7 separate regions of the Mus musculus genome follow, and all the other regions are reported to be linked to region 1. The links are microRNA targets in miRTarBase. Many come from high-throughput screens and were not tested one by one. Region 1 holds a microRNA gene; each other region holds the end of a gene's coding sequence.
The links. Region 1 holds the annotated microRNA mmu-miR-758-3p (UUUGUGACCUGGUCCACUA, at 2,887-2,905, opposite strand). A microRNA usually pairs through its seed, bases 2 to 8, with sites in the 3' UTR of a target mRNA and lowers its output. Matches are read on the target gene's strand: a 7mer-m8 pairs with bases 2 to 8, a 7mer-A1 pairs with bases 2 to 7 and ends in A, and an 8mer does both.

Region 2: the mRNA of Slitrk6 is a reported target of mmu-miR-758-3p. Seed matches in the 3' UTR shown: 7mer-A1 at 982-988.
Region 3: the mRNA of Mal2 is a reported target of mmu-miR-758-3p. Seed matches in the 3' UTR shown: 7mer-A1 at 857-863 and 8mer at 2,289-2,296.
Region 4: miRTarBase lists Zbtb18 as a target of mmu-miR-758-3p. Seed matches in the 3' UTR shown: 7mer-m8 at 784-790 and 8mer at 860-867.
Region 5: miRTarBase lists Efcab14 as a target of mmu-miR-758-3p. The part of its 3' UTR that is shown has no 7-base or 8-base seed match.
Region 6: the mRNA of Zgpat is a reported target of mmu-miR-758-3p. The part of its 3' UTR that is shown has no 7-base or 8-base seed match.
Region 7: miRTarBase lists Glul as a target of mmu-miR-758-3p. Seed matches in the 3' UTR shown: 8mer at 3,132-3,139.

The regions. Positions count from the first base shown.
Region 1 is chr12:109,711,262-109,715,762 of GRCm38, reverse strand. Mir758 (microRNA 758) reads right to left here and starts at 2,953; the gene lies at 2,873-2,953. Mir380 (microRNA 380) reads right to left here and starts at 3,960; the gene lies at 3,900-3,960. Mir1197 (microRNA 1197) reads right to left here and starts at 3,446; the gene lies at 3,327-3,446. Mir323 (microRNA 323) reads right to left here and starts at 3,255; the gene lies at 3,170-3,255. It also overlaps Mir329, Mir494, Mir679 and Mir1193.
Region 2 is chr14:110,745,766-110,750,266 of GRCm38, reverse strand. It overlaps Slitrk6 (SLIT and NTRK-like family, member 6), which reads left to right. Exons shown (of 2, transcript NM_175499.4): 2 at 1-1,689. The coding sequence ends at 516. Among named protein-coding and RNA genes, the nearest start is that of Slitrk6, 7.1 kb to the left of the region's middle.
Region 3 is chr15:54,600,148-54,604,648 of GRCm38, forward strand. It overlaps Mal2 (mal, T cell differentiation protein 2), which reads left to right. Exons shown (of 4, transcript NM_178920.4): 4 at 524-2,699. The coding sequence ends at 595. Among named protein-coding and RNA genes, the nearest start is that of Mal2, 31 kb to the left of the region's middle.
Region 4 is chr1:177,448,091-177,452,591 of GRCm38, forward strand. It overlaps Zbtb18 (zinc finger and BTB domain containing 18), which reads left to right. Exons shown (of 2, transcript NM_001355099.1): 2 at 1-2,674. The coding sequence ends at 581. Among named protein-coding and RNA genes, the nearest start is that of Gm29856, 5.8 kb to the right of the region's middle.
Region 5 is chr4:115,773,424-115,777,924 of GRCm38, reverse strand. Efcab14 (EF-hand calcium binding domain 14) reads right to left here. Exons shown (of 11, transcript NM_001368627.1): 11 at 532-4,087. The coding sequence ends at 3,912. Among named protein-coding and RNA genes, the nearest start is that of Tex38, 5.4 kb to the left of the region's middle.
Region 6 is chr2:181,379,705-181,384,205 of GRCm38, reverse strand. It overlaps Zgpat (zinc finger, CCCH-type with G patch domain), which reads right to left. Exons shown (of 6, transcript NM_001048148.1): 5 at 4,027-4,432; 6 at 3,413-3,831. The coding sequence ends at 3,693. It overlaps Lime1 (Lck interacting transmembrane adaptor 1), which reads right to left and starts at 2,971. Exons shown (of 5, transcript NM_023684.2): 1 at 1,892-2,971; 2 at 1,662-1,719; 3 at 1,503-1,590; 4 at 1,046-1,407; 5 at 578-948. The coding sequence starts at 1,989. The coding sequence ends at 745. It also overlaps a transcript of Zbtb46 not described here.
Region 7 is chr1:153,907,092-153,911,592 of GRCm38, reverse strand. It overlaps Glul (glutamate-ammonia ligase (glutamine synthetase)), which reads right to left. Exons shown (of 7, transcript NM_008131.4): 5 at 4,446-4,501; 6 at 4,108-4,307; 7 at 1,870-3,729. The coding sequence ends at 3,411. Among named protein-coding and RNA genes, the nearest start is that of Glul, 9.4 kb to the right of the region's middle.

The DNA.
Region 1 (4,501 bases):
AACGGGTGACCTACAGCATAAATGAAGTGTACGTCACCGGTCTACCATCCACACAGCTACCCCGAGAACAGTGGGCATCATTGTCCCTTCAGTCACGATGCTGGCACGTCCTTATAGCTACTGTGAGGAGGACCTTGCTGAAAAGCCATCACACACCAAGAGTCACCTCACAGTCCAAAGCCATAGGGAGTAGCCTCAGGCCACCACGGGGACCCTGTCCCTTCTTCAAATGACTTTCCTTCCAGGGCTGAGTCCTGATGCCATACTCCCATGTCCCATGTCCCAGAGTCCAGGGAACAGCAGTCCAGGTCCCTTCCCTGAAGGCGTCATCAGGGACAGGGAGTGCCCCCAGGGTGGGATTTGATACTAAAAAAGAGGTTTCCCGTGTATGTTTCATCATAAATAAAGAGAAGACAACACGGACAACCTCTCCTTCAAGTATCAATTAGCACTGGTCAGAAAGCAAACAAAGGCAGCTGGAAAGTGCCAGGTGCCTTGTCAGAAGTGTCTGCTTCTGTGGGCCCTGGAGAGCAACCAAAACCCCTGTGCAATTTGACAGTCCACAGAATTGCCTGAGACTATTTACCAACAACACAGACCACCTGCATTCCTTATCTCTCCAGGTTTAGGGGGGGTCACTGAAGGGAACCAGGGACCCCAGAAATTGTGCCTCAGGAGATAACAGGGGAATAGTAGCTCTCAACTTCAACAAGTACAGTACATTGGGGGTGTTCAGGAATGAGCCTCGGATTCTGGTTCCAAGAGGTAGGTGGGTGATGAGAAGCGACCCAGCCCTCTGGTTGTGAGTCTGGGTAGTTTCCAGGGAAGGTAAGATTCTAAAAGCAGACACATTATAAAGTTAGTAGGAAGGTAAATGTGTGCCAGCACATGTGGTAGTATAAAGAAGCAGCAGGCAGGGGCAGGCAGTTCCACCCCCTGGTCGAGTGGTTCTCAACCTTCCTAGTGCTGTGACCCTTTAATATACTTCCTCATGTTGGGTAATCCCCAACTGTAAAATTATTTTCAATGTTACTTCATAACTGTGATTTTGCTACTGTTATAAATCATAATGTAGATATCTGATATGAAATGCCTATGAAAAGGGCTCATGATTTGCAGATGAGAATTGTGTTCTACCTGGAACCCCACAGAAAGCTCTACTGCTGACCACAACCCTGGGTGGAGTTAAGGACTAAGAACAGATTTCACATCTTTTGTTTATTTGTTTGTTTGTTTGGTTGGTTGGTTGGTTTGGTTTTTTTCGAGACAGGGTTTCTCTGTATAGCCCTGGCTGTCCTGGAACTCATTCTGTAGACCAAGCTGGCCTCGAACTCAGAAATCCACCTGCCTCTGCCTCCCAAGTGCTGGGATTAAAGGCGTGCGCCACCACTGCCCCGCTCCAGATTTCATATCTTAAAGCTCACTGGGCAAATGTGTGTGCCAATTTCAGGTTTGCTTTCCTACTGCTAGAACACTGCTGATTCCAAGTCTCTTATTACAAGGATGTGGGTGTGTGTGAATAGCATGGATCTAGGTACCATCTGACACAGTGGGTGTTCTCTACAATAGACAGTCCTATAGCAGGGGTTGGCTGATTAAAAGCCCATCACCGTGCCTCCAAAGCATGCTGGACATGTGTGGGGGTGGCTGTGTCTAACCTGTTAGAAGCAAAGTGGGTGCAACCTACCTGTGATGACCTGGGGTAGAGTTGCCTCGGTGGCTGCCATCTTCCCCAACTTTGGAACACCATATTGGTTGAGAAGTCCTCCTGAGAATGGACAAGATACTGAAGGTTAGAAGCACAGGCAACAGAAATCTGATGTATGGGATGGGTTTTGTCCGTCACTCACTTGTTCATAACTATTAGTGTGTCCTCAGCTGAGGCTGAGGTATGGACCAGAAGGCCTCCATAGTTTGTTCTGATGGGAAGAGAGGTTGACCAAATGTGTTTCAAACACAGAAACCCCTCTTCCACATCCTCAGTTAACAATAACAATGACACCTTCCCAAACTGGACCTTCAGACCTGGCAGGCCTGGGAGGGTTTAGAGGACAAAGGACACCATTCAGAACGATAATCCACTCGCTGGCTTTGTGGAGAACCAGTTATTCCTGTCCCCTGGCTGGATGCTGACAGGACCATCCTTCCCTGAGACTGGGATCTGGACCACGAAGCCTCCAAGATGGGATTTGATACTGAAAAAAAGGTTAGCTGGGTGTGTTTCATTCTCATCAAAGAAACAGAGACCCAGAAAACCTCTCTTCCGGTACCAGAAGCGAACACTGACAAGACTACCTCGGTAATTCCCCAACGTGACCTTCAGACCTGGCAGGCCTGTTGAATGCAGGGTTGCACACTGGATGTTAGTCAAAGTGCTCAAGCAAGCCATTAGTTGATATATATCTGACAGCCATCCCATCACATGCCCCAGTACAGCAGACCTCCATGGCATGATCCTGAAGTTATGTCACAACCAGAGAGCAGTGGCGCAGTAGAGACTGGCTATAGGACTTACCACCATTTTGGGTAACCACAGAAAGGCACAGATGCCCCCAAACCAAAGATGATTCCTCCCACAGATTTAGCATGCAAGTGTGCTAAGGTGACCTGCGACCTGTGCCATATATAAATGGCATACACACACCCTGGTCATGTCTGACAACATGGTACGTTTCTTGAACTTGGATGGCCCCATATCAAGGAAGGGATCCAAGTATAGGACAGCATTGGAAGCCCATCCAATACTACCATAACAGGCACATATGTTGCAAGTACTGAGGATGCTGTCTCCAAGTCTAACAGCGTACAGCTGGCTTATTGCCTCTGTCCCCAAAAGTTGAGATCTCTTCCAGGAAGTTCTCCAAGGGAAGGTTAGATACTGAGGGTTAGTGGACCAGGTCACAAACGGCACAAATATAGCGTGTGCTCTCTGGTCAACCACCTCACGCACCCACACGTGTATCACATGTCGATGCCACTTTCCTGGTCTGCAAGTCACCCTGCCCACGAAGCTGCCAAGCCAGAGAAATTTGCTGAGAAGAAGGCTGCCACACAAGAGTTATTGTCAGACACAAGAAAAGACAAACCCGCTGGCTGGGTTGCGCTAGCACACACATTTAGTGTCCCCACCCCACAGCTGGTGTTAGCTCCAGGAAAGCTCGCAAGGCGGGATTAGATACCGCAAAGAGGTCGACCGTGTAATGTGCGCCATAAATGAAGCGAACGCGCCACGGACCACCTCTCTCCAAGTACCAAGCAGCAGCAGTAGGAAGACCGGGACACTGGCTCTTCCTCAAAGCAGATGTCACCTCCTGGAAGTCTTCCAAGGCGAGATGTGATATTGAGAAGAAGTAGACCATGTGTCCTACGTCATAAATAAAGCGTACACACCATGGTCAACCGCATCTTCAAATACCTTGAGGTAACGCTGGCTGATTCCAGCTCACTTTACTTAATTTGGTGTTACCTCCAAAATGCCTTCTCAATGAGTGTCACAAACTACCAGCAATCGGCATGTGTGGCAATGGCCACAAACTCATGTTTAATGCCACTATGACTTCCAGGATGCCCTGTAAGGCTGGGCTGGGTGCCAAATATTGGCTTTGGATCAAATGGCCAGAGTCGTAGGTAATGAACATGGCCTGTAGCCAAGCACTGGGTAATCTGTGTTGGATAGGGTCTGCCGCCTGAGCCCTACTCTCAATTGGTATGGCTTTCAGAAAGCCCCTGGTGACCGGCTGATGCAGAGATGTGGTGGACCATGCTGTACATGCTGGAATTAACGCACACACTCGACAGTCTACCATCTCCCCAAGTACTGTGCTGAAGCCAGGACAGGATATCTCCCATGAAGTTGGCTCGGTCTCTGGAAAACCCTCACGAATGACTTTGATAACGAGAAGATGTGGACCATACTACATACGACACAGAAGTAGCGCATGTTCTATGGTCAACCATCTTTTCAGGTACCATGGAGAGAGGGTGGTGCAGGAGCTGGCTTCTTTCCTCATGATTATCACTTCCAGGAAACCCTAGATGCAATGTTGAAAAGAGACCACCATGCATTGCCTGCTGCAGATGCAGAGAATATAGCAAAGAGAAGTTTGCAAGGACGCGAAGAGAAGACCCCGTAACTAGCACTGTGCCTTTAAGGAAATATTGTTCACAGGAAGCCCCCAAGGCGCATTCACTATTATGGGAAGGTGGACCAAATTAACATGCGCTGTAAGTAAAGCAAGAAGCATGGACAACCTCTACCCCAAGGCATTTGTCCTTCTGCCTTGCCCCCCCACCCCCAAGGTTAATGGGGCCTCTTTGGAAACCTTCAAAGCTGAAGTTGATATTGAAAAGAGTAGGCCAGGTTACAAATGGTGTTAATAATACACATGCAGTTTGCTTGATCCCTCTTCAGGTACCGTGAGGTCATTGCTGATGCAAGAACCAGAGCCCTGTCTCTGAGGCTAGCAGCATCTTCAGCAAGTTCTCCAAGGCTGGGCTGGAG
Region 2 (4,501 bases), not on the chromosome of region 1:
GAAAGACCCTCTTCCTCTCTCTATGAACAACACATGGTGAGCCCAATGGTTCATGTCTACAGAAGTCCATCCTTTGGTCCAAAGCATTTGGAAGAAGTTGAGGAAAGAAATGATAAAGAAGGAAATGATGCAAAACATCTTCAAAGGAGCCTGTTAGAACGAGAAAATCATTCACCACTCACAGGTTCAAATATGAAATACAAAACTACAGACCAATCAACAGATTTCATATCCTTTCAGGATGCAAGCTTATTATATAGGAACATTTTGGAGAAAGAGAGGGAACTTCAGCAACTTGGCATCACAGAGTACCTAAGAAAAAATCTTGCTCAGCTCCAGCCAGAGGTGGAGGTTAACTATCCTGGAGCCCACGAGGAGCTAAAATTAATGGAAACGTTGATGTACTCACGACCAAGGAAGGTGTTGGTAGAACAGACTAAAAATGAATACTTTGAGCTCAAAGCTAACTTGCATGCTGAACCCGACTACTTAGAAGTCTTGGAGCAGCAAACATAGAGGGGCTGCTTGTGGGCTTTTGCAGAAATGCTGGGATTCTGACTTAAGTTCACACTTTTGAAATAAGTGCCTTACGTGGGTGTTATCAATCAGAATTCAGCACAGCCGTAATCCTATGAGAGATGAAAGAAGAAAGTGAAACTCAGGGACAATTGAGGAAGCCATGGCATTATCATCAGGCAATATAGCCTGTTCCAAATAAAACAAGTCCTTGCATATAACTGTTGCAAGGAGTACGTAGTATTGCTCCATATGCTTACAAGTATTTCATAGAATTTCTCTTGCACACCTAAAGGGTTGAACACATAAAAAGCTCCAGTTTTCTTGGATACTCTATTCATGACTAAATACAATTAAATTTCATCAGTTAAGCATATACCTGTATATATATACATAGTATGTAAGGAATTTATTCATAATCACATATATGTCAGAAATTTATACTGTCAATCACACTAAATTTTCTCACAAAAAGTGAAAGGGGAACTGGAACTTAAATTTAAAAAGTGGCAATAGTAAGTGAAAATGTACAATTTGTAATTACGTGCACCATTAACGATTCCGAATTTTCAACAAAGGGTGCCATTGCTAAGGTTTCTGAATTCAGACTCACGATGGCAAATAGTTCCTGTGGGATAAATAAGCAAATGTGTGAGTTTAATCTACACATTTTCTGTGGATATCTTTTGATGTAATGCTGCTGTGAACCTAAGGTATGTGATTTGTGTTCGACATTCTATTCTTCTTGGGATATTTTTTTTTAAATGCTACTGAGATTCTACTGTATATATGATTAGAGCACTTAGTAAGTTTGCTTCTTTTCATAGTGTTAATTATTTGTACAACTGGATGATAATGATAAGAAAACATGTCTTTTGTGGCATGTAAATCAAAGGTATAAAATGAATAGTAAAACTTATTTTATTTTTATTGACATACACTGATAGGTCGTGTAGATTAGTAGCAAGAGGCGTTTCTACAGGTAAGTGTTCTGAGCTTCCTCAGGAGAGGGACAGTGTAGCTTTATTTTACAAGAAGGTATCACTAGATTTCTATGAACTATTTATTCTGTACAGTTTTGTATATTTTTGGTTCACAAGATAATTATACTTGGGTGCCTTTTAAGAAAGTTTAAGATTATTGCTCACTTCAATAAAAGTAAAATGAAAACATTTCTCAAAGTGTTTCAATCAATTATTCTAAGCTGTGATTCAGTCATGTTGTGATTATCACCTCAGTATACTCTCTGCATATGGAAAAGGCTGGTTCTATTTGTGTGTGCATAGAAGTCCTGTGTTCATCACACACACGAATCACTCAGTGTAATTGGAATCTGTGTTTTTAACACATTGCAATCCTGAACACTTGTTGGGAGAGAAATTAATGAAAAAAAATGTACTCTTGTCCACTCATGTAACAATGTCTTTCAGCAATGTCTGAGTATTCTACCAGGTATTTCATCTTGCAATACTCAAATTCTTTTCCTACTACCAATACTGTGATATCTGGGCCAAAAGGTTTCAAGACTAGATCTGAGCCTAATCTGTAATCACAGTCACTAGATTTATATTGCAAATTATTTCTTACATGAAAGGAATCAAAACTTTAAAGACTCATTGTAAACCAATATCACTTTATTAATTTCCAGAACTTGGAAAGACAACGTGCTTGTGTTTTTGCCTCAGAATAAAACTTTCTAGGTAAAATGCATGTAATAAGATTTCTTTATGTTTGTAGAAAAACTATTAAGTACAGTGACTGATAATTTCTCCAAGGATGGAGTTTACCCACAATACAATGAGTAAACAAAAAACTCTTGAGCAAAAAATGTGTTATCCTATTTCTCCTACCCAGTTGAGTTTCTGCCGATATTTTTTATCCCAATTACAACCATAGTCGTATTAGCAAGGTCTGAAAATCCCCATGCCTTAGGAATCTTTGAAGTGGATCTGTGCATGCAAGTACATACATGCTTGAAGAAAACTATGACTTCAGGACTATCCTTCTCTTTTCAGTGCAGTAACATTTTATATCTCCATGGATTTTTTTTCATTGCTGAAATTAATAGTCTTAATTTTTCAACTTATTATCAAGAGAAACAAAGTTATTTATGAAACCATGTAAGTATATTCTTCAAGTTACAGTTATCCACAAAATTAAAAGCAATAAAATATGAGTAAAACTTTAAAGGATGTGAAAAATATTATAGCTTCCAAGGTGTACCAATATTTTAGGTAACTGAATATTTATTTCTCAGTAGATATTCCCTTGCCATGTATTTTCCTACTAATTATTAATTGTTGGCTTGTATTTCAAATAAGGTATGATCTGTCAAACATTTTTAATTTAAGTCTTTGATTATTTACTTTTGTTCTATATACCTTTTTTATTAAACAAAATGAGAGCTATTTCATTACTTGTTTACAAAGTCACTTGGCCCCTGAGCTAACAGAGTAACCCAGTGCTCCAATTCTTATTACAGTACTTTCATCTTTGCCATATGAGGTGGTTACCTGAACACACCTTAATTATATATGGTTACTTTCTTGTTCCAAGTAGAAATGATCTTGTTTTCATTGTGTATCGCTGTATATCTTTAGTTATGTACAAAATTAAATTTCTGTAATGTATTGACAGTAGTATAATATTTTCGCAACAGTATTTTTAATTCTGGCTTACTCTATGATATGTAAGTTATAGGAAGATTTCTCAGAAAAGTCACAGTAGCCAGTAAATAACATGCAAGTCCTCGTGACGTTAAGACATCGAGGCCTTCCATTAACCTCCATCACTGGACTGAAATTTTAAAATTTATAGAAGAAAAATTATATCAACTGTGCTGCCTTTTTACAATCAATGTCTTGTATTCTGGCACAGACAAAGCCTCTTTCTACTGATTTCATGTTAAATAAACTGAAGCATCATGTAAGCTGCCTTAAGCTCCCTTGATGCCTTGGCCAACTAATTCAAAAGGCTTAAGATTTGAAGCAGGATTGAAAAACTGACATATGTAAACCCCTTTTCATTAACGTCCCACTTTAGAAGTAATGGCTTATATCCCTTCATGTGATTATAGGACTTTGTTGTCAAAGCTATATGTTTACATTTATTAATTAAAATACCTATATGTGATCTCTATTAATTTATCACACATGTATTTATATCTGATATCTACTAACTGATAAATATATATTCCACGAGATAATATAAATTTGTATTACCATTTGTATGTGGCAACTGTAAAGAGATATTAATATTCTTAATATTAAATTGCACTATTTTTGTATGAGCATTAAATTATTTAAAATACTTTAAAAGATGAGGAGACTAACAACTTGCTAGCTCTTAGTCATGCATTTTTTTTCCAGAAAAAAATATACACAGAATTTTTAACAGAGCCCCTCATATGGTTGATAGTCAATCAAACAATCAGTAGGAGTATTTCCCTACCTGTAAGACTGTAATTTCTGTGTCTATACAAATGCCATCTAGATATCGTCAAGTGGAAAATGGTTTACACAGTGTAAGAAGGATTTTTTCTATTTCTCTTGACCTTCCAGTATTTTATGAGAGTCTTATAAAAATGACAAAATTTTAATGTAAATAGGGAGATTTTGATTTTTCTGTTCCTATCCCAGCCAGATTAACCCTGTATCTGAGGAACAAATTTAAAAAATTACCTCATGACTTTGGAATGGACTTATAATTAAGAACACAAAATTCAGAATCCCACTTTTTCTAATTCTTGATACACTGAAATATTTCCTTGGGTTCGTATCTGCAAATATGACTCAAATATTGTATATTATTGGCATTTAGCTAGAGTTATAATTTTAACATTACATTATTTTGTTAATGACTAGCCACTTACACAAGTAATAACTTGTATTATCCTTATTGATGCTATTATTTATTGAAGGTGGATTAATGCTTATTGTATACAATGCCATTCTTCGGTGTTTATAATGGGGTAGACAGCCAGATA
Region 3 (4,501 bases), not on the chromosome of region 1:
TGTTAATGACGCCAACCGTGACACCAAGGAAACAGCTCCAAGAGGGCTTGGCCTGGGACAACTGTCTCCCACCTGAGGAGGAACAGAACTCAGAACACATTCCTATGGGTTTTGTCTACTGAGTTCTAAAGATGACAGAAATGATTTGATGTGTCCTTGGGGTCTGATAGTTACTGTCTTCTTAGCTATGAAACTACTGGATGATGAGATAACTCAGAGTGAATTTTTTAATACACTGCCTAGGGTTTCATAAATACTTAACAAGTAAGCTTGACATGTGAGCGAATGGTGAAAGTAAGGCTGCCTGCAGATATGAAAGCTAAGAGCTATAGTGTACAAAGGGAGGGCCAGCTCTGGGAGGTAACGAAGCAAAGTCATCGAAACACAGATCACTCTAAACTCTTGTCCTGTTGAAGTATCTACAGGTCAGTTGTCGAGGATTTGTTCAGTGGTCTCTCAGGATGCAACTTCTAAAAGTCCATGTTGTGAATCTGATGACAGTGTTTCTTTTTCCTTTTCTTAGGTTTTTGCCTTCATGACAACAGCTTGTTATGGTTGCAGTTTGGGTCTGGCTTTGCGAAGATGGCGACCGTAACACTCCTTGGAAACTGACAGTTGTGTGCTGGTTTCATTTGTCTACTTTATATGTCTGATCACTTGGGTACCATTTGTCCCAATATAACATTCCAAACATTGTTAGCTTAGTACAGAGAGGACCTCAGTGCAAGCTGTGGTTTGTTACATGGGTGGGATTTTCATTTTGTTCTGATGTTAGAGAAGTATCCTTTCCTTTTTCATCTCTCGTTTCTTTTTAAATGCATTTCCATTGTATATTCTTAAAATACACAGGCACTGTTCACAAAACAATAGTATTCCTTTTTTTTTTTTTTGGTTGAGTCACCCGAACCTTAATAATAGTAAATAACTAAAACAATACATCTCATGCAGGCTTCTCATCTAATTCTATCTTTAGTATAAAACAGGAAATGATACACATGTTTTTTTTACAAAAAGGCCAGGTAGCACATATGTAGGCTTTAATAGGCCATATAGCCTCTGTGGCAATTGTTCCATCCTATGATAACATAAAAGCAGCTACAGATGATGTGTAAATAAATGTCTGTATCCTAATAAAGCTTATTTCAAAAAGGGAGCAAAACTGGATGTGGTCTACAGACCATAATTTTATCAACTACTGCCATAAAAACCTTAGGTGTTCTGTGTTCTATTGAACTAATCATGAAACCTCATTAGACAAGCCACATAACATATTTTGTTTCATTATGCATCAATCACATTGCCTTTGTTTAATAGTCAAATATTACCCTTGGAAGGTCATATAATTTCTCAAGCTAACCCCAGCAGAGCCTTGGATGAAGAGCAAAATAAGGTAGGAAATAAACTCCAAACTAATGATTTCCTAATAGCTCAGCAAGGCACTCACACGAGAGTACTTAAGACATGATCCCCAGAGGCAATTAATCACTACTGGATCTAGTATCTTGCTACTGATGTCTTTCTTTTGGTTTATTTATGCCATAGACTGTGGTTGTTTGGCCTATGCATGAATATATAAATATTTATGTATGTAAAGCTTTTCCAAATAGCTCTCTGAAGAGTTGAATTTTTAACTTCTTATTGTTTTTGCATTGCTTTCTGAGCTGAATTTGAGTAACAGATTAACTATAACATAAAGCTATAGATTCTTACATGCTTTGATAATAGCCCAGATATCTATGTTGTTTTTACATTGGTGTCAGACAGGCAAAGGACATTTAACACAAGAGCTAAAACAAAAACTGGATCTGGCTGAATAGAACAGAAAACAATCCTAGTCCACCTGTATGTGTCGCAGGCTTGGCAACAGATCATGAGTGACCACAGTTCCCACCGCATTCTCATACAGGCCAATTCCCTATTGTTTTAGTAGGGCTGCCTTTGGAAATGGAGGCTTGGGAATTGCTCTCGAGCTGACCCATCACCTAAGAGTGCCATGTATGGTTGGAGTATTGGACTCCCTGGAACATAGTGAAAAACATGAATGAATAGCATCAATGCCCAGTGTTCAAGTGCTGTTTATCTAATACTCCCCCAGAAGAAGAACCAACGGGGACCTCAGTTTGTAATACAGCTGAAGACGAGATGTATTTCTATATGTAGGTTGAAGAAATCAGTCTTATGGCTTTCCACTCATGTCTTAGCTCTTCTAAAATGCCAGACTTCCCTCCTGTTTTTCCAGCTCCAGACCACACACTGAAAAACCTGTATTATGAATTATATACTATGAAGTCACAAATGTGCCATAAAGATACATTGTACGTGGAATCACTAAAATGTAGTCCACTAGAATTTAGTTGAGATTTTTGTTTTCCCCCAGGTGTACCAAGCCATGCTCAGTGTGGTATTAACTCAAATGAATTCATTCAGATGTATTGGTGGTACTTTTGTAAATGTATGGCTTCTAGGTTAGCAAAAAGAAAACTCAAAGCTGACTAACTGTGAATACTTAGGTCTGTAGATTCATTGCATTCTAGATGTTGTGAGCTGAGCGATGAAGCACTTGAACAAAGACGAAGGTGTTTAAGAATCTCTCTACGTATCTTAGCTGTAAAAATGAAAAAGTGTTGGCTGGTCTTAAAATCTGATAAATTTATTTTATAAGTGTTATGACTCTAATAAAGTATTCATTTGATAACCTTTTGGGTCACTCTTTTTTATTTTATTTTATTTTTTTTAATGCCATTCACTTTAACATTCAGTTAACTATTTAGTAGGAACCAGATTGAAGTTCCAGACCGATGAATGGGCTCTGTTTCTGATAGTTCTGAGTAAAATGGATCTCTCAGAAAATATCAGTAAGCCTTTTCTGGGGTGAGCATGAGAAGGTAAAATGAGAGGGAAATTGAGGTGAAATGTGTACTCTGCTGTATTTTAAAAGCATCTGGCCTGTCTGTATACTGTGTATGTCAGGTGGTGTTTAAAGCATTTTAAAAATTATTGTCTCACCTACAACTCATTAGAACTACTGGAAGGCCTAGATACCATTACCTTATGTTAAAGATTAGGGGCCTAAAACACATTGGAGGACAGCCAGAGTCCTCCACTTACCATGAGAAAGCAAAGCTTCAGAGACTTACATTTGTCTCTTGATTTCTCTGTAAGCCTCCATTCTCCCAGATTTTTACCTCCTTTGCCCTTCAAAAAGTATTTAGCAGAGTGTTTAACCACATAATCATATCTTGTCTTAGACTATTTTTTGTCCTAAACCAGCCCCCTGATTTTAATTAAACTAATATAGACCAACCACTAGGGGCAGAGGCAGGGGATATGGTGGTGCCTCTAATATCTAGCTCTGGTTTTGATACCCAGAACCACAGAATGTGGTGGCATGTGCCTGCAATCCCACCAGCCAGGAAGTGGAGGCAGAAGTAGCAGAAGCTTAAGGTCATCACTGGCTTCAAAGTAAATTCAAGGCTAGCCTGGAGTATGTAAAACCTTGTCTCAAAAAATAAAAAGAATTTCAGGTCAAACCTGCATGAAGAGAATACTGTTCGGCAGCTACAGTCCGGACAGACACAGGAGTTCCTCGCTGCTCTGTTCTTTAGTCTGTTCATCTTGGTATGGAAGGGGCTATGTTAAAGGGGCCAGGAGACACTTCAGTGAACTTCATTATCTCATGCTGAGTCAGCTAATAGTTGGCCAGATTGCATAGCAATCCCTAAAACTGATCTGGACAGACCTTTCTAATGTGTGATGACCAACATCAAAGTCATGGAAGTGGACTGACACCGTATGCTTGTTTGATGGATGTTGTGGATAAGAAAATGAGGTGAGATGTATAATCTGGGGCTGGTGGTCATAGGTCCTAACTGTTATCATGAATACTGCACTTTGGTTTTCCAAAAGAGATGATAGTTACCCCATTTTCCTTTTTGTAAACATGAGTCCATGTTCTTTCCTAATACAATATATTTTATTTTTTTGTTGTGCACCTTTACCTCAAAAGTTAGCTGAGAAAATTTGAAATTTTCTCACATAGCATGGGCATAGTTTTCTGGTTATATTACGTTTAAGAAGAGGCAAAAAATAGTTCTTTCAACAGAAGTATGAAAAAGGCAAGTTGCTTATTTGCACCTCCCATATCACCCACTAAAGATCCTGTAAGTCTCTGAGCAGGTCCCTGGGAAAGAGGAACCAGAGTTGAGTTGGTTTGGGAGGTAATGACTATGGGAAATGAATATAAGTAGGAAGGTGTCCTGCTCCACACGCATGGATGGCTCTAGTGAGGGCAGAAGGAGTCAGCTCAGGTAGGAAGACCCTCAGCCTGAGCTCCTCTGAGAAAGTCTTCCTGAGCTAATCGTGACCTCCAGCATCAAGATAGGCCACAGAAAAGTCTCAGATTCGTAAACTTGGCAAGCCCTGTTCCATCACCATGACATATCGTTGGCAATTCTCTGCTCATTGACTCAAACCCTAACAAAGATTCTATAGGCCCTGGTAG
Region 4 (4,501 bases), not on the chromosome of region 1:
ACAAAGCCAGCGATGATGAGATGATGACCCCAGAGAGCGAGCGGGTCCAGGTGGAAGGGGGCATGGAGAACAGTCTGCTTCCCTACGTCTCCAATATCCTGAGCCCCGCAGGCCAGATCTTCATGTGCCCCCTGTGCAACAAAGTCTTCCCCAGCCCCCACATCCTGCAGATCCACCTGAGCACGCACTTCCGAGAGCAGGATGGCATCCGTAGCAAGCCTGCCGCCGATGTCAATGTGCCCACGTGCTCCCTGTGTGGGAAGACTTTCTCCTGCATGTACACCCTCAAGCGCCACGAGAGGACTCACTCGGGGGAGAAGCCCTACACGTGCACCCAATGCGGCAAGAGTTTCCAGTACTCGCACAACCTGAGCCGTCATGCCGTGGTGCACACCCGCGAGAAGCCCCATGCCTGCAAGTGGTGCGAGCGCAGGTTCACGCAGTCCGGAGACCTGTACAGACACATCCGCAAGTTCCACTGTGAGTTGGTGAACTCCTTGTCGGTCAAAAGTGAAGCGCTGAGCTTGCCCACTGTCAGAGACTGGACCTTAGAAGATAGCTCTCAAGAACTTTGGAAATAATTTTATATATATATATATATAAATAATATATATATATATATATACATATATATACATAGATCTCTATATAGTTGTGGTACGGTCTAAAAGCAGTCTTGTTTCCTGGAACTGAAAAGTTGGGATCTTAACTTGTTTTTGCACTTTAGAATAATAGCATGAGAATCTCACTAATTTAGCATTCTGATAAAAGAAACTAGAGCAAGTCACAAGTAGAGAGCTGTCTTTCTTTTGAGGGTTAGGCCAAGTTAGCCAATAAAACCTTCTCAACAAATGGTTCTGTCACAAACGCTTTCACATGGCTTACTTTTGTACACACTGCATTGTCTTGAGCGCTTTCCCTGTGCTCCACACTGTTTTGTTTTGTTTTGTTTTCAGAGTAGAAATCCCCTCCAGTTTATTAGCCTCTTTATATGTCTCAAATTGCATGAATATTTTCTGGCTGTTGGAAACCTGAATGCTTTTAGACCCAAATGGAAAATTTCTGAAATGCTGGATTATCTATTTTTAAACAAGCAGTTGACTTAAAACTTTGTGTGGCAACTTCTGGTTTTCTGATGGTCCCCAGTGAGAGAAATCTGACAGTACACTGGGTCACTGGGACTGTCTCTGTGAAGGTTTGCTTGAGATGAAAAAGGATATTGCAGCTTCAGCAGTGTTGAACTGTGTGTTTAAAATGTGAATTACTGTTCTTGTATACTGTAATTGATTACACGGGCTGGGGGGGGTGTCAAAGAACTTGACAGGTTGTGTTGATGCTCTTAGTTGAGTCTTGAAAAGTAAATATTAACGCTACAGAAATGCATGAGTTTCAATATATTTTTTGTCTTTGTTTGCATTGTATAACTTTAACGAGTGAGTTTAAAATTATTTAATTTCCTTAGAAAAATAGCACCATTTGGGAAAAAAACTGGTGTTACGAAGAACATAAATGCACTGTCTTTATTTTTATTTTTATTTTATATAATTTAAATTGACTTTTCCCACGTCTTTAAGTTTGAAACTGTTAAGCTGAATAAAAACTTAAGCTGCAAATTGATAACTTCGCTACATTACAAGGAACATATAAATGTTTACAAACGGCTTAAAGAATTGCATGTGCAGTGTGCATTCATACCACACTTGTAATTGCACAGAACCCATGCCAGCTCAGAGTTTAGGTGTACACACGTACCCAGCCGAGTGTTTTTAGAATAACTACTGCACAAATTGACAATAGGTCATAGGTCATTCTCTCTCTCCCTCCTTTTTGCTTCCCCTTTCTTTTTCTCCCCTATTTCCTTTCCTTCCCCCTACCCCCTAACTCATGAAAAGATTCTATGGACTGAAAAAGCCCCAGGCTGAAAGGACTGAACCGCCTTGATTGACATGGGGAGGGGGGTTAGTAGACTGTGTATCGGCAGCAGAGGCTGCAGCCCGATGTGTGGTTCTGATGGCCAGCGCGGGGCAGAAGCGTTTTGCACACTGTTTGTTTTCCTGTCTTGCACTTACAAATAAGGTCTATGGGAGTAGCATGGGAAACAGTGGTTGTTTTTCCCTTTTTCTTTTTTAATTGCTTTTGTTTAAAATTTGATCGCCTTAACTACTGTAAACATAGCCTATTTTTGTGCTTAAGATACTGAATGGAAAACTCCATTGTGTGTTGCTGGACTGTTTTGGAAATATTTGGTCAAATGTATGTTAATTTGGCTGTAATGGCATTTAAAGCAAACAAACAAACAAACAAACAAAGCTGTGAAAATGGCCTTGGAGCATTATCTTTAGTTACTTGAAGAGTTTCTAGTTTTTTTTTTTTTAATACAGTTTATGTTAAAATAATCTTTATTAATCTAGAGGAGACAATCAATGTCTGTGGAAGAACGGACTTTTTTGGATTTTCTTTTTTAATGGTCATTGTGAGTGATTGCTCTTTCTTTTACTTAGTTTCACATTCTTCCTTTGTTCTAAATCTTAGACTGACATCTAGCTTTGACAATCATAGTATGTTTTATTTCCTGAGGGGGAATAACTTATAATGCTGTTTAGTTTTGTACTATTGGTGTGTTGGTGAATTTTTAAACTGTGTGCTAACTGCAATAAATTATATGAACTGAGAATTCCTTGTGTGCTTTTTGTATTATAGTCGCACAACAGATTTGGAGTTAGTATAGTGCATGACGTCTTCATTTTAATGTCAAGTTTTATTCAGCTTATGAAGTATTAGACTGCTTTAGGGTCACCCAAATGGAAATGTGCACATTCTCACTATTTAAGGAGACACTAAATGCACATTGAAAAATATAACCCATCTCTAGTGTAGATCAAGACTGTTGAGATAATTCCCTAGAAATTATAAATGCAAAGAACTTGAAGTGGCAAAGGTAGGTTTTCATAATACAACTACTAACCCATACACAATACAAGTCACTTTTCATGCGAGATTTTATCCTAAGTTGATTGGTCAAATCCATTCTCCCATGTTCTGGCTTTAAGTGGAAAATTGAAGGAGACCGGATGTCTTAATTTGGAAGACTGCTTGGCTAATGAGTGGAAGTCTAGGCAATTGAATTAGCAGGCATTCAGTTGTTCAAGATGAGCTGTGTATGTCTGTTCTTCTTACCAGCACTCAAAAGATCTTAGTGTTTGAGTTCAAATTTTAAAACATTTAAGTAATGCACCATTAGAGCTGTCCTTCCCCTTTGTCATTGCCCCCTCCTCAATTTTTTGCCTGTCTTGTTGGGTTTGTGTCTGGTAAGGGCTGACTGACTCTTGGAATTCACAGAACACATGGATATACAAGGACTTCGGCACACTGGCCCTAGATAGCAGTGGGGCCCAGGTCCTGAGGTTGTATAAATACTAAAATCTTCAACTATCCATAAATCCTAATCCTACAGACAAATATGGAAATAATAATTTTCCATTACTACTGTCAAAGATAATTACACCAAAAAGCCCACAGTAAGATTAACTTTTTGGTGTGTGTGTGTGTGGGAGGGGAGGTGTCCAGAGTATAAAACATGCCATTTAGAAGCTCTTCGATGGCTTTGGCTAGAAACACACAAGATTTTTATCATAGAGTACAATAAAAATTTCCAGCTTGGAATGATACATTCTGCTTTTAATGGAGGAAATAATACAACTAACACACCTCAAAATTGGCTTTAAACAACTGAACATTGCACATGAAGGGGCAATTTTCATTTGGTCTCTACATAGCTATTCCCTGAGCAGCTAGCTAGTGAGAGACTCTTCCCATTTTCCTGTGAGTTAAAGCTTTCTGAAGAGACTGAGGGCTTATGTATCATTCAGTCTCATGATTGTCTTCATTTTAAGTGAGCACTACCCTAGCAGGCTTCACAGGATAGACTCAACAGCATTCTGACTATGATTTAGAAATAACGTATTACAATACCGCACAACAGGCATAGAGTGTTATTACACAAAGGGTCACATTTGGCATGTGATGCACAAGAATCCATTGTTCTCCACTGCACTGAAGAAAGAAAGTTGTCATGCAGTCCGGTTGGAAACCTGTAAAATCAGGCCCTCCTTTGACATCTGGCTGATTCCTAAATACATGCTAAAAATATGGTTTCACTTACTTTTGAAAACATCTGTTTCTTTCAGATAATCAATTAGGCCCTAGATTGCTGTGGGCCCAGCATTGTGTGCTAGCTGTACCCTGGGGAATAGTCAAGGAGTAGAAGACACTAAGGAGGCCGGTTGGGGATTTCCTTCCTAGTTAATTATGCTATCAGATTAATAGGTGAACCAAGTAGAGTTTACCCTTAACGGACTTCACGTGGGCCTCTAAAAACAGGTTTTTGGAAGGTTAGAAAAAGATGAACACTATTTAAAATGATATATTTACTCACATTAAGTATTTTTAAAAAATGCTTGTTTCCCCAAGTAATTTTTTTATTAAACTACTATAAGAGAAA
Region 5 (4,501 bases), not on the chromosome of region 1:
GGTCTCTGTGGTATGGCCTAGGACCTTCCTAGCCACAGGCTTTTGACTGGGATTACGAAATGAGTCATGCATTTCCTGTTGTGGAGTGGGCTTCAAGTCCAAACAGAAACTGCTTGGTTATCCCTGTAAGAGCTGCTACTCCTGTACCAGTGGGTACACCTTGCCTGTCTGGTCAGCAGTATTGCACACAGGATCCACAGATGACAGTTGATGGCTCTCCCCCCACCCACCCCAGCAGCCTGCAGACTACCTTCATGCATTATGATGGCTATCCATCAGGAAGGAAACTCCCGCCCAGTTCCAGCTTGATTTCTGTCCTGTCAACAGAGGATGAGGTGTCTTCAGCAAAGGTCTTAAGAGAGAGGTCTGGTGGGCAACCAGTGGCAGAGACAATTCTTGCTTTTTGTTGTTGCTGTTGTTGTTAGTCTTAGGTGCCTACTTGGCAAAAATAAAGCAGATTCTTGATATTGTTTTGTACCTCCAACTAATAGCCCTTGATTTCAAGAGGAAGTAGCAAGCAGTCCACAAAAATAAAGATTAAAGCAGGTTTCCCCCTTTAATTATCAGGGGAGCAGGGAAAATTCTAGTCAGACACAGTGAGAGAAACGTAATGTTTTATTTAGATAAATTAAAATGGCTATATTGATAGGAAGTAAGTAAAGCTCAAATGAAGTCATGGAAACCTTGAATCCACTCTAAACAAAACCAAAATTGCTTATGTATTACCAAAATAGTTCCATTAATATAAAGTAGATTTACCGTTCTTAATATGAGAAAACAACAAGGTAGGTTAGGTTTATATAACAAACAATACACACTCTCTAGTCTCAGGAATACCCAAATGTGTTCTGGCTTGAATATGAGAGAAGGGACCACATCTAGATGGTTGGTAAGCAAGCCAATGAGGTGTGTAGCAAACAAAAGCTGTCACTAAAAACAACTCAATAGGCCATTATAAGTGTGAGCCCATCACAGTCAAAACCTTCAGCTGTGACGCTGGGACCAGGGAGGGGGCTGATGGGGCTGTCCAGCAATGGTAAAGAGCAAACTGCAATGGAAGGGAAACAAGCTGGTCGTGAAGTGAGACTGTCTGCCTCAGCTCTTCTGCATTAGACCCATTCTTAAGAGCCAAGCATCCATTGCTCTGCTCCTCCTTGAATGTTACTACAGTCATATTTAAGCCAGGTACTTTTCTGAGACAAGATCTCACTATGGAGCCCAGACTGGACTAGAACTCATTACTTTCCTGTCTCAGTCTCCCAAGGGCTGGGATTACAGGTATGTACTACCATGACTGGCTTGTGAATGGTCTTTCAGTAAATATTATGGTAGATGGTACATAAAGCAAAGGACCAAGGGTAACACTTTAAGAAACTAAGGTGGGAAGTACTCTTAGCTACTGACTGATAAGGCCAAAGGATTGAAATCCAAAGCCAAACTCACCACCACTACCATTGAGTTCTCTTAGAGGTGATCTGTGGCTGGTGAAGCTTGACTAACACAAGGCACTGGATGCACAAGGTAAGACAATAAACAAATGAAGACCCAATCTTCACCGATTGATAGGTTTTTGGGGCTCCTAAGCCAGTGAGTCTGTCCAATTTCTAGCAAAGGATAGCAACCTCTGCCTAGATCTGGTAATGCCATAGTCAGGATGAGAAACGTATAGAATGTCAGAGGGCAGTTATGGCTACCTCTGGTCAGTTTGATAAGAGACATCACATGGCTCAGGGGTGATGCTGGCAGACAAGCTTCTTGACATGGAAAAACCAGAAGAAAGTCCAAGAAACAAATCCTGCTTCCTCACTGAAAAGCATATACCACAAAGAGTTAAGGTGTCTTGAAAGTATCTGCCTACAAATGAGAACTTGAAACTAAAAAGGACAAGCTACATTACCCTCAGTATATTTCATATAAATCAGTTCTCAAAAAAAAAAAAAAAAAGAAAGAAAGAAAGAAAGAAAAAAAGAAAAACCTTCCAGGTACAGACATACTATTTATGGTACAATATATACAAATATAGCAGAATAATTCAATTTATTGCTAGAACTTTATTTGGTTGTTACAAAATCTGTACGGATGTGTGTGTGTGTGTGTGTGTGTGTGTGTGTGTGTTTAGTATGGAAGGCAGCCAGGAGAACAAGAGTTACCTAAAGAGCCAGGATAATGTTTGAACTGTATTTTTAACCTTTCCAAGAAGGTGACAGCATAGATGAGCAAGGCAAACATTAAGGCAAAAAATTTAAAGAGAGAGAAACATGAGCTAAGAAGACTCATGCACAGGAAAACTTGTCTTGCCTTCACTGAGTTTTAATGTCTAGAGAAAAAAAAAGCCAACACTAAGCTGAATATCATATATAAAAGAAACAAAATATAAAAAGCAAGGCAAAGCAAAGCGAAAACCAAATGTCTTTAAAGGTTAAAGGTACTAGACTGTATCTATAGCTGACAGGGCAACTTGATCGAAATTAAACAGCAATGATCTTTAGTAAAGAAGCCCTGCCATCACAACAGCTTCTCCAGTGTTTCCCTGACGGCTACAGCAACCTGCGGTTCTGTAAGGTCTTCTGCTGGAGCTGCCAGAGACGCCTAAGAGCACTGGGAGTGTCTCAACATGTCAGCGAATGGTGATCTGCTCCTATCAGACCTGTCCTGGCCTGCCCACAAAGCATGTAAGCGGAAGCATCACAGATGCTCTTTAGACCTGGGAAAACAGCCCCATCACCAGAAGGCTCCTGCTCCAAGCACGCCTGCTCCATGTGGTATCCTCTGGACAGAAAACCCATAGCTCCTTTTGAGTGAACAATTAGGAAGAAAGAATATGATTTCCTGTTTCATCAGACCACATTTTGGCTTTAGGCATCCTGCCAAGAAATAGAGCAAATTCTTGGTTATCCTAAAGGTAAAATCAAAGGGTACTCAGAGCTTTTCTCTAGTGCTCTGGGCAACTAGTTTGGGATAGCAGCCAAGGACATGAACCTTCCCATTTCTGACTGGACATGGTGCTGAAGGTAGGCAGTTACAACTTTAAGGTAGTCTAGAGTGGGTGGGCAGAGAAGACCCACTTCTTGAGGGGAAAACATATAATTTCCCACCGAGTAACTTTTACGCTCATAATCCTTGAAAGATAATTAAAAATGAGGAAAATCCCAGTAAGACTTCTCTGGTTCTTAGGTTAGGAATAGGAGCAGTGGCCCAGAATCTGACTTTCCTGAGTTTGGAACTGGCACCCTCTGCACAGCATCCATACCTGAACTGATGCCCCAGCTTCAAACCCTATGGTGGTGCCCAAGCATTTGAGGGCTGCCTTAAGGAGGTGTGAAGAGGTTCAGTTGCCACCCAGAGCAGACTGTCAGTTACTCATAACAAGTCATTCATTCATTCCATTCAAAGCCAATCGTCTTTCTACACATTATGCACAATCTTTCATCTTATATATTTACAAACAGAAGAGACTCATCTTTCAAAGAAAAGACATATTCTGAGGCTCTATAAAGTGCATCTAATTTAAGGCAAATTCATATGAAATATAAACTGACTTATTATCTCTATATACATACACTTTCCAGCTTTAAAAGGTAAATTCTCTTCCCCTCAAAAAACAGGAAAGAGAGAAGAGGGCTTTATTTTTTTTTCCTGGCAACTTTAAGTTACAACATCTCACTGGCTTCATGAAATCATAGATTTCTAAACATCATACTTTAAGTAAATTTTTTTAAAAAAATAATTTTTTAAATAGTGTTTTCAAACAAGTTAAAAGGTGACAATGTGTTTGTTATAGTAGTATAAAGGACTGGAGGGCTGAAGAGTTAGTCAAGAAGGTTTTTGTTTTTGTTTTTTTCTGTCTTTTTAGTTAAGTAGATTTTTAGGTAGTCCAGGCTACATATCCGTTTCAAATATACCTGATGAGACTAGATACCTAAAGCTAATCTTAGTTCCAGGAAAGAGTATCTTCCATCTCCATTCGAATCAAATGCTCTCAAGCTCTCTGGTCTTGGCATGGCAGAACCTAGGGAGTTCCAGAGTTCCTGGTAGGTCAGCATCCCATCCACATCTTGACCAGTCTTGTGGAATAAATCCTGAAGATCTGTTAAACGGGAATTACAAGAGAGACATGTAGTATGTTTATGCATACAGTTAAAAGTAGCTTAAACTGACTTCCCAGCATTAAAAGAAAGGCTACTTGGCCGGGTGTGGTGGTGACCATCTTTAATCCTAGCATTTGGGAGTGGTTGGGTAGAGGTAGGCAGATCTCTGTAGATTTGAGAGTAGCCTCATCTATACAGTTAAGTTCCAGATCAGCCAGGGCTTATCTCAAACCCTTCCCCTGCAAAACAAAACAACTCTCCCAACTTGCTGGGAGGGGTAGAGAGATGGCTCAGTGGTTAAGAGTGCTAGCTGCTCTTCTAGGACTGTGAGTTTGGCTCCCAGCCACTTGTAACTTCAGGTCCAGGAAATCAGATGCTCTCTTCTAGCCTCCAAGAACCCGCCTTCCCGAACC
Region 6 (4,501 bases), not on the chromosome of region 1:
CCCACAGCAACACTTCAAGGAGCCCATGCCTCACTGTCAGCGTCCCCCCACTTGTAGGATGCTCCAGGTCAGACTAGTGGGGGCTGGGGTGTGTGTGGCTCAACTCCTGAAGACAACTCCAAGACTCACACGAGCCCTACAGCCCAAGAGGGCATGTTTTTCCAGGGAATTGGGGTGCCCGCAAAGTTACCACCTCCTTGACTGGCCTCCTGCAAACAGGTTATTCTTTAACTCAAGACTGTCAACAGCCACCTACTTAAGTAACTTCAAGGGCTGGGGACAGAGGTTTCAGGAGGATCTGAGGGCTCAGACCCCACTCTTCCAACTGGCCATGTCGTTCCAGACCCTCGGGCCTAGAAAGCCACCATGGCAAACATCTGGTCTTCTCCCTCCTGCCCAGAATCCTGTCAGAACTCTGAGTCTAACAACCAGCTCACGGCCTCAGGGCAGGGGTCAAGGACCAGAATCAAAGACTAGAAGAGGACATCTCTAATCCTTTCAGAAAATTCCCACTCTAACCTTCCCAGCTTTCAAAATAGATAGATAGATATAGATAAAAAGCAACCAAGAGCCAACCTTATTGAACAGAGGTTTAATTAGGCCTCAAGGACTGGCCCTGATAGCTGTGCTGCCAGCTGTGGAGGTGGAAGGACACAGAAGGATCTGCAATCAAACCATCCTGAAGCAGAAGCCTTGGTACTCTTCCTAACTCATGTTAAAGACAGGATGTAAGGCCTGAGCTGCTCACAGGCCCATCTCCTTGATGCTTTCATACACATTTTCTAAGGGCCCTTGCTTCATATCCTGGCCCCTGAGATTGATGGCCTCGTACTCCACATCACTCCCAAGCGGCAGACTTGTTCTCCCATCCTGCAGGTTCAGCTGGTCTGTGACGGGTCTTGGGTCTCTTCTTTTAGGCTTGCAAACCCTAGAGTATAGGACGTCCATCTGGAGAGAAGAGACAAACCCAAGGAGGGCTTGGCATTGTCCTCTGCCGAGGACGGGCTCAGCTCCATCTAACCTGCCCTACCCAGGCAGACGTTACCTGAGTAGCTGGGATCACCTTAGCCTTCTGCTGCAATTCTTGGCAGCCTTGCTCTGTCCCTTTGTGCTTCTGGATGCAGGCATATTCGGCCCCAGGACCAAGCCTGGCACAACTAATGGTCAGCTGTGTTCCAGCCCACACCACAGGGCTAGCAGCCAGGCTGGCCCTGGGAATTGCAGCCAGCCCCACATTGGAATAAGTGGCCTCAGAGCTAGTAGAAGGTGCAGTTGCAGGAGCAGCAGGAGGGGCCCTGGGCAGCTGCCGTGGTGGGAAGGCAGAGTTGGGTACCTGAGACCTGGTGCTGCCCCTGGACATCTCTAGCCAGCGTGGATGCAGAAGATCCATGCTAGCAGGCCGTGGGGCTAGGGATGAAGTCAAGGCAGAAGTCACTGAGGGGCCAGCTCTAGTGGTGGGAGGCTGAAGCCAGCCCTACACTTATGGTTTCCCAGGAACTCACCTATGCTGGAGCGTGGGCCTCGGTGCAGCTCATGCAGTCTGGTGTCAGACTTGCTGAGGGAGCAGAGGTGGGTCTGTCTCAGCAGTGGCTAGGGAGCAAGGAAGGCTGGTTGATTCCCTGCTGTCTTCACCCTGGCCCCTGGGACAGTCTGGCACTCACCATTTCCACTGGTACCAAACTGTCCTGCAGCCCAGTTTGCTGCCTCTGAGCTCTCTTCCTGGGGGCAAGAGTGTTGTTAGTCTAGTAGGCAGAGGAAGGTGCACAGGTAGTCAGATGCTGGCCCAGGCTCAGTGTGGAAGCACATATAGAGCCGTCATATGGACTTCTCTATCGTGACTTCTGGCTCTGAACCATGCAGGGTGAGGGCAGACAGAATCCCAGGCACATACCTGTGGCAGGCTGTGCACAGTGCCCATAGCCAAAGGAGCAGGGAGAAGCAGCCCAGGACCCAGAGAGCTAGTGGGGCTGAAGGCACTGGTGGCCTCATCCTGTGAAACAGGGAAGAGAGCCCTGGGGACAGAAGAGATGAGCACTGGGGGCTGGCTGCGAGAGCAGTGTACAGCTGCAGCCTACTTGCAGATCTTGCCCACTAGTGGGTTCCTTCTCCCTGGTTGACTCAGCACACCGGAAACCCCCAAGCCTTGCATTTTTGCCGTGCTCTAGGGGGACCCACCTTTCCCTCTCTAGCTAGGGTTCCTGGTAAGAAGTGCTCTGCCTATCCCTGTTAGTTATCAGGAATGGAGATGGAGATAGAGGAGCATGGCCAGGGTAGCTATGACCTCAACTGAACAAGGGTGTATAACTGGAGCTCAAGCCCATCACCTGGGGAATCTCTGACTTCACTCTGACTCTGAGCCACAGACCACAGGTCTCACCTCCGGCCACCAATGCCCACAGAGTGACCCCTGTGTCAGGCAATCTTCCTAGACTACTCACTACAGAAAGGGTGGGTGGGGGAGGTGTGTGTCAATGAACAGGAGGAGCTGCTATGAGGGCCACGTACTCCCACCCTACTCCACACTTCCCGGGGCTCTGGGGCTTCCCTGGAGTTACCCTTTGCAGAGCTGATTAGGGTCTCACCCAGACGTTAAAGGTAAGTAAAATTGGGGTGAACAACAGCCTTCTGAGGTGAGGGCCTGTCTGTTCAGGCTTGGAGTGTAGGCTTCTTTCACTGAGTGGGCCCAAGCTGACTAACCTGGCTACAGCCAAGTTATCAATGGCCTAACCAGGCAGGGACTAACCCTCCCAGACCCCAGAGCATGGAGAGGCTTGGGGGCTGGCCCAGGATAAAGGGTGAGGGAGCACTTACCGAGGCCACCGGGGATTTGCTGCTTGGCCCTGTCTAGGACAGCCAGGAAGATCTTTGTGGGCTGCTGGTGACGCCTCACCTCACTTCCTGTGTTTCTCAGAGCACCTCCCAGCAGCCACACAGCTCTTGCGCAGTTGCTCCCACAGTCTCTGCTCTCCTCACACCTCATCATGGCTAATGCTATCACTAGGCAATTACCACAAAGACCAGCACAGTCCCCTCCACCCCAATGAGGCAGATACCCATTAATGAGGTGAACAAAGCAGGTGAACTGGATGGATTATCGTGGCAGCCAAAAACCAGAAATGAACCCCAAACCCACCCAAGCCAGGTCTGCCTGCTTTTCTCACTGACTGTATTCCTAAGGTGTTTCCATCTCACACACCCTACCTGCTTGTGAGTACTGGGACTGAAGAGCCACCTTAGGTTCTTACCCACTTGGTCAGAGAAGGGAAAAGGGAGAATGTTTTTCTCTTGGACTCTTGGACCCTAGACAGAGGCAGTGGCCTCATTTGGTACTCCCACTGCCCACCTGTCTACTCCCAGGACCTACACAGATCCCTGTGTCCCCAGAAATCCTGAAGCCAGCTGAGTCTCCACTGAGAGAATTGTGATGAAATCACTTTAATGTCCTAAGGAGACACCCCAAGACACTGGTAGGTGGGCTTGGTGGGCAGATAAGTGTTCAAAATCAGCCCTGATGTCCCACCTCTACTCAGCAGTGTTCACACTCTAGGCTGACAAGGCTAATTAAGGGGCATCCTAAGAAGGGGCTGGTTCCTCTTCCAGGTGCTGTTTAGGCATCAGGGTGACAGCTGTCTTTCTGCCAAGGCAGTTTGGAGCTGGGTCCCAGGGCTCTATCCACAATACAGGCAGGGCCGCTAGAACTCTGTCATCTTCCTGTGAGTGTCTGCCTTCCGCTGTTTCCTCTGTAGGTCAGCCTCCTGAGCACGCAGCTGACCCAGCTGCCGCTGGGCTCCCTCCAGCTTCTCCTGCAGATGGGCTGTCGTCATATTGTGCCTAGGGAGAGCCTGCTGGTCAGCATTGCCTCCTGGCTCCCCACTTCCAAGCCCTCAGCTGCTATAGCCAATGCCTGTCCTCTAATATCTAGACCACCTCAGACTCAGCTGCTACTCAGGTCAGGTAACCTTTAGCAGGTATCCTCTGGGCATAGCCACTGGAGCCCATACTGCCTCAGCTGGATCCCACACATACCGGCCAGTGTTCCGGGTTAGGGCCTCCTGGATGCCCCGGATGTCCCGTTGGGTCCGCTCAATCTTCTCCTCAGTCTGGAAGAGCTGCAGGCTCAAAGCCTGCTTGGCGCTCTTGCTGGCGTGATACATGTCTTTGTTCCTTCTCTCTGGGGTATCCACCCCAGCATCTGGGGTCCCAGGAACCTGGCTTTGCAGTTTTTCATTCAAAAAGTCAAACACATTCCGGGGGGGTGGGCGGCCCTCAGGTCTACTACCACTCCTCCGGCATTTTGGAGGCCTGTTGGACCCAGCCTGGCCTCGCTTTGTCTTCTTCTGCAGTATCTCTGCACACTGGTCCAGTGATTTCCCTCTAGGCAACACTACAGCATGGATGGGCTCCACCCGGCCTTCTGCATGCCGGCCCAAACCTGAGAAAGACAGAGGCTGTGCTACCTGCTAGACCTTGAGCTGTGTTAAGGACTCCCTCTCAACTCAGG
Region 7 (4,501 bases), not on the chromosome of region 1:
CAACTGGGACCTCACACACCCCAGGGCGTTACTCCATTGAGCCAGAGCCCACATCCGTCTCTTTAAGGCTGAAAGTTTGGCAAATATTGTTTAATATAGCCCCTCATTCTGTTTAATCTATCACTGATACAGTTATCAAGTAACTGGGTCTGTTAAATGAGCAATTAAAAAAAAAAACAAAAACCTTAGAAATGTAAGGGGATTGAACTCTGACCGGGAGAGCAGATGTAATTCTAGGTTCCAGGGTGGAGAAGGAAATACTTCCCACCTGGAATCCTGATCCTATTAAGTTAGGATTTCTTTTCAAGTAACCTTGAGAAGAGAACTGGCTGCAATCGGCTACAAAACAATGAAAAGGACTCAGGTCCTGTGGATGACCCAGGGAAACAGCCACTGGGAGGGAAAAGGTGGACAAATATTTATTTTAACATGAAGACTAGGAAGATTCTGAGAGTAGAAGAGGGCACTTAAAAAAAAATCTCTGTGTGTGTATGTTGAGTGCAATGCTGGCATGTATGTATAGGTGTCGTTTGCATGCCCAACTCTCAAGAAAGCCAGATGGGCACCAGCTCCCCTGGAACTGGAGTTACAAGTGGTTTGTTTCATGCTGTTTGAGCTAGGGTCCTCGAAAGAGCAGCAAGTGCTTTTTAACTGATGAGCCATCTCTACAGTAGGAGGGCAATCACGCCAGACTAGCAGGTTTATAAGCTACTAGGTTTATATTTACTTTATAAGAGAATGCTCGCTTGGAGAAAACTGTCACTTTAAGATCTGTTCCAACAGTCTCTACTAAATTACTGTTGCCCACAACAGCAACAGTGGGGGACTTGGGAGGCAGAACCTGGCAGATCTTGAAGATTCAGGCCAGCCAGGGATACGCAGAGATACCATCACAAACCAGCAACAGCGGAGCTAGTATATGCTCTGGATAGCTACTTTCTACTATCTGGGCATATGCACAGAAGCACCGTGAAAGAGGAAGCGCCTCTTTTAGCTTAGTGAGGAAAATGCTTAAACAGCAACAGGACACAGTAAGGACTCAGCCAGGCTTGGTGGCACAATGTAGGATCCAGATCAAGACTTCAAGCCCAGCCCGGGATGAGTCCCAAACTGGAAATTCTAGGGAGCTGAGCATGAAGTGTAAACATGGAGGTTTGGAACCCAGGTTCAGTGGTCCACAAATGTCTTGGTTGTCCTGAAGCCTGAGAACCTAGGCTGGACAACTCAGGGAAAACCAGGATAAAACAGAGAACTCCACGGAACCTAGTGTTTGGTTAATTAAAATCTAGGACAAGCCAATGCCCCAAGTGTAACGGCCTTCAGCGGCTTCAATAGGCGAGCAAACCTACTGTGTAGATAGCTCCCAGCAGCTGGACCGAGGAAGAACTCAAGAACAGGGGCAGCTAATACACTGTACCACGCTGTATTAAATATCCTGATAAGCCAGGACTGTCAGTGTTCGATAAACCAAGCCCTGGCACCGGAAGTGAAACAGAGGTTCCCATTTGCCAGGAAATTCTAGCAGCCTAGTCACCCAGAGCTGAGGGCAGCCGTGAAAGTGGCCAGGCCCAACGCAAGACCTTAAAGTATCTGTGTCTTATTTTGTGTCACTTGATAGCATGATCCTTGAGTCTGAACTGTTAGACAACACTGCTTTCAAAATGTAAGACCTAACATGAAACTGGGAATTGCCTACTCTGGAGCAAGAACTTTCAAGTTAAAGGCCGGACACTAGGACCCCGTCTCAAAATATCTCGTCAACGTGACTTCATCTTAAAAGCATAAGTACAGATAAGCACATTTTGTCCGTAAACAAGAACCACCCCCCTTCCCTTTCTTTTGATAGAGAAAGAAGGAATGAAATAGCACTTAATTTTTGAGGTTTTTTTTTTTTTTTTGGGAACCACAAAGAAACAAGTCAGAGGAAATCTTATAAATGTTAGGTTGATTTATAAGCGCTGCCTGGCAGTTACAGTCTGTTTACAGTGAGTTATCTAACCGAACATACTATACATGGCAATTAGAAGTCATCATGGCAAGAGAGAAACCACAGTTGGCCCGCTGCCGACACAAACAACCAGAAAACTGAAGGGCAACAGGCTGGGATGGAGGTGGGGGTGTGTTTACTATAAAAGAAAAAAAAAAAGACTATTGGCTTTTTCAGAAGGAAAGTAACAGTCTGCTGGCAGAGGTGACACTAGGAGACAAGTGTTTTAACTCTAGGCCTGTCCTTAATTCCCCTAAGAGCCAAGTGGAGGGAGACATTGAAACAAACAGGCAATTCTGTAAAGTTAGAAACCCTACAAATCTGATTAAAATCTAAACTTGTTTTGCTTTTAAAAAACTTAATATATCAAAAGGCCCGCTTTAGTGACATGCTAATCCCACCAAAAAAATAACCCCAGTAAACCCCCACCCACCCACCCATCAGTAACAGTGTTCAAGTTGACCAGCCAACTCATACTTCTAACTCGTGTGTGGAGTAAGTATACGCATCCCCTAAACCTAAGCCTGGGGACAGGTGGTGGCAAGCAGTGGCATCCCACTGGCTACCTGTCCAACATCTGCTCCTGCAGAGTGGGCAGGGAAACCCTAAGCAGTAATGAAGCTGAGACCCCAAGATAACCAACTTTCCCGGTACTGCATCCTCACCCCTACCTCAAGGGAGCCTCACTTCTAAGCCAAGCCCCTCATCACTCAAACTTGGCACCCAGTGAATAGGATGGTTCTCTCAATTAGAAAGACATACATCCACACATCCATATATATATAACTTTTTTGTTTTTAACATTTAAATATAAAAATACTACTCTGCTTTGTGTTATGAACGGAGGACCAAGAAATGCCAACTTTTTTCTTCCTTCACAGTAGGGCCATCCATCAGGTGACGCGGTGAGCTGTGTTCACACAGAGGGGGACGGATGCCCCCTCCCCCAAGCCAAGGAAGCACAGCGCAAGAAACCAACCTTCAACTCCTCACCTAACTTCCATTTGGAACAGAAAGCTGGTTTCCCCTTTAGAAATAACAGCTCTCTACCAACAGTGGAAATGTCAATCTCAGCCGTTGGGCCTGCCCTTTCAACTATCCTGAAGAAAAAAAAAATGTCCTCTTTCACCATAAGTACACCCGCTTTGTGACAGCTATGCCTACCGGACATGCATACCCGATGAGATGAAGCAGTGGGTTACCCTTCCCCTCCCCCCTCCCGCTCCCTACTAGAAAGCTAGATAGGAAAGAAAGGGTTGGTGTGTAGAGATTAAGAACCTGACCCCTCTATTCTGACCAACAAAAGCAAGATTAACTGGGCACGAGGAATAAAAAGACCTTGGTATTCCATCCTTTTGAGTTACAGTGGGGACAACTGGGAAAGGGAAGAGCTGGGAGAGGGATCACTGGAAGTCTAGTCCACTTAGTTCTTGTATTGGAAGGGTTCGTCGCCTGTTTCGTTGAGGAGACACGTGCGGACGATGGCTTCTGTCACCGCATAGGGGTCACAATTGGCAGAAGGCCGACGGTCTTCAAAGTAGCCCTTCTTCTCCTGGCCGACAGTCCGGGGAATGCGGATACTGGCACCGCGGTTGGCAACACCGGCAGAAAAGTCGTTGATGTTGGAGGTTTCGTGGAATCCAGTCAGACGCCGGGCGTTGTCCAGGCCCCCCTTGGGATCGTAGGCGCGAATGTGGTACTGGTGCCTCTTGCTCAGTTTGTCAATGGCCTCCTCAATGCACCTAGTGGAAACAGTGAAGATGAGGGTCCATCGACAAGGATGGGAGCGGGCATGAATCCCAGAAGAAAGAAGGCACTGTCTCCCTCAGGCCAGTCTTTAACATGCAGTGCAAATTATCCACTGGATGGAAAGACCCCCAATCACTCGCCTCTTCCCACCAGTAAGAATTAAGTTTCCCATTTGCTTGTATTTTTACTTAGTTCGAATGCTTTTCTGTCAATTCTATTCCTAAAGTATTTACCCTATCGCCTCTCCAACAGGCACAAACTGACAGGCTTAGAACAAATATGCAGAGCTAGGCATGTACGTACAGCCTTGTGAGTACCCAAAGCCCTTCTACCCCATGAGAATACAGACGGCTCCAAAGGAAGGTACTTACTTCAGACCATTCTCCTCCCGCATGGCCTTGGTGCTGAAGTTGGTATGGCAGCCTGCACCATTCCAGTTCCCTGGAATGGGCTTGGGGTCAAAGGTTGCTATCACCCCAAAGTCTTCGCACACCCGATGCAAGATAAAACGGGCTATCCAAAGATGATCTCCCATTCGGATCCCCTCACAGGGTCCTATCTGGAATTCCCACTAGAGAGAAAAAGTTGACCTTTAAGATCCACCCTCTGTGATTGCCCCACTTTGTGATCCACCCCTGCTAGCCCGAAGTCCCCATGTGCCTACCTACCCAGGTCTTCAGAGAGGAGGAAAAAGATGGGCACCATTTACCTGGGCAGGCATAACCTCCGCATTTGTCCCCGTAATCTTGACTCCAGCATACAAGC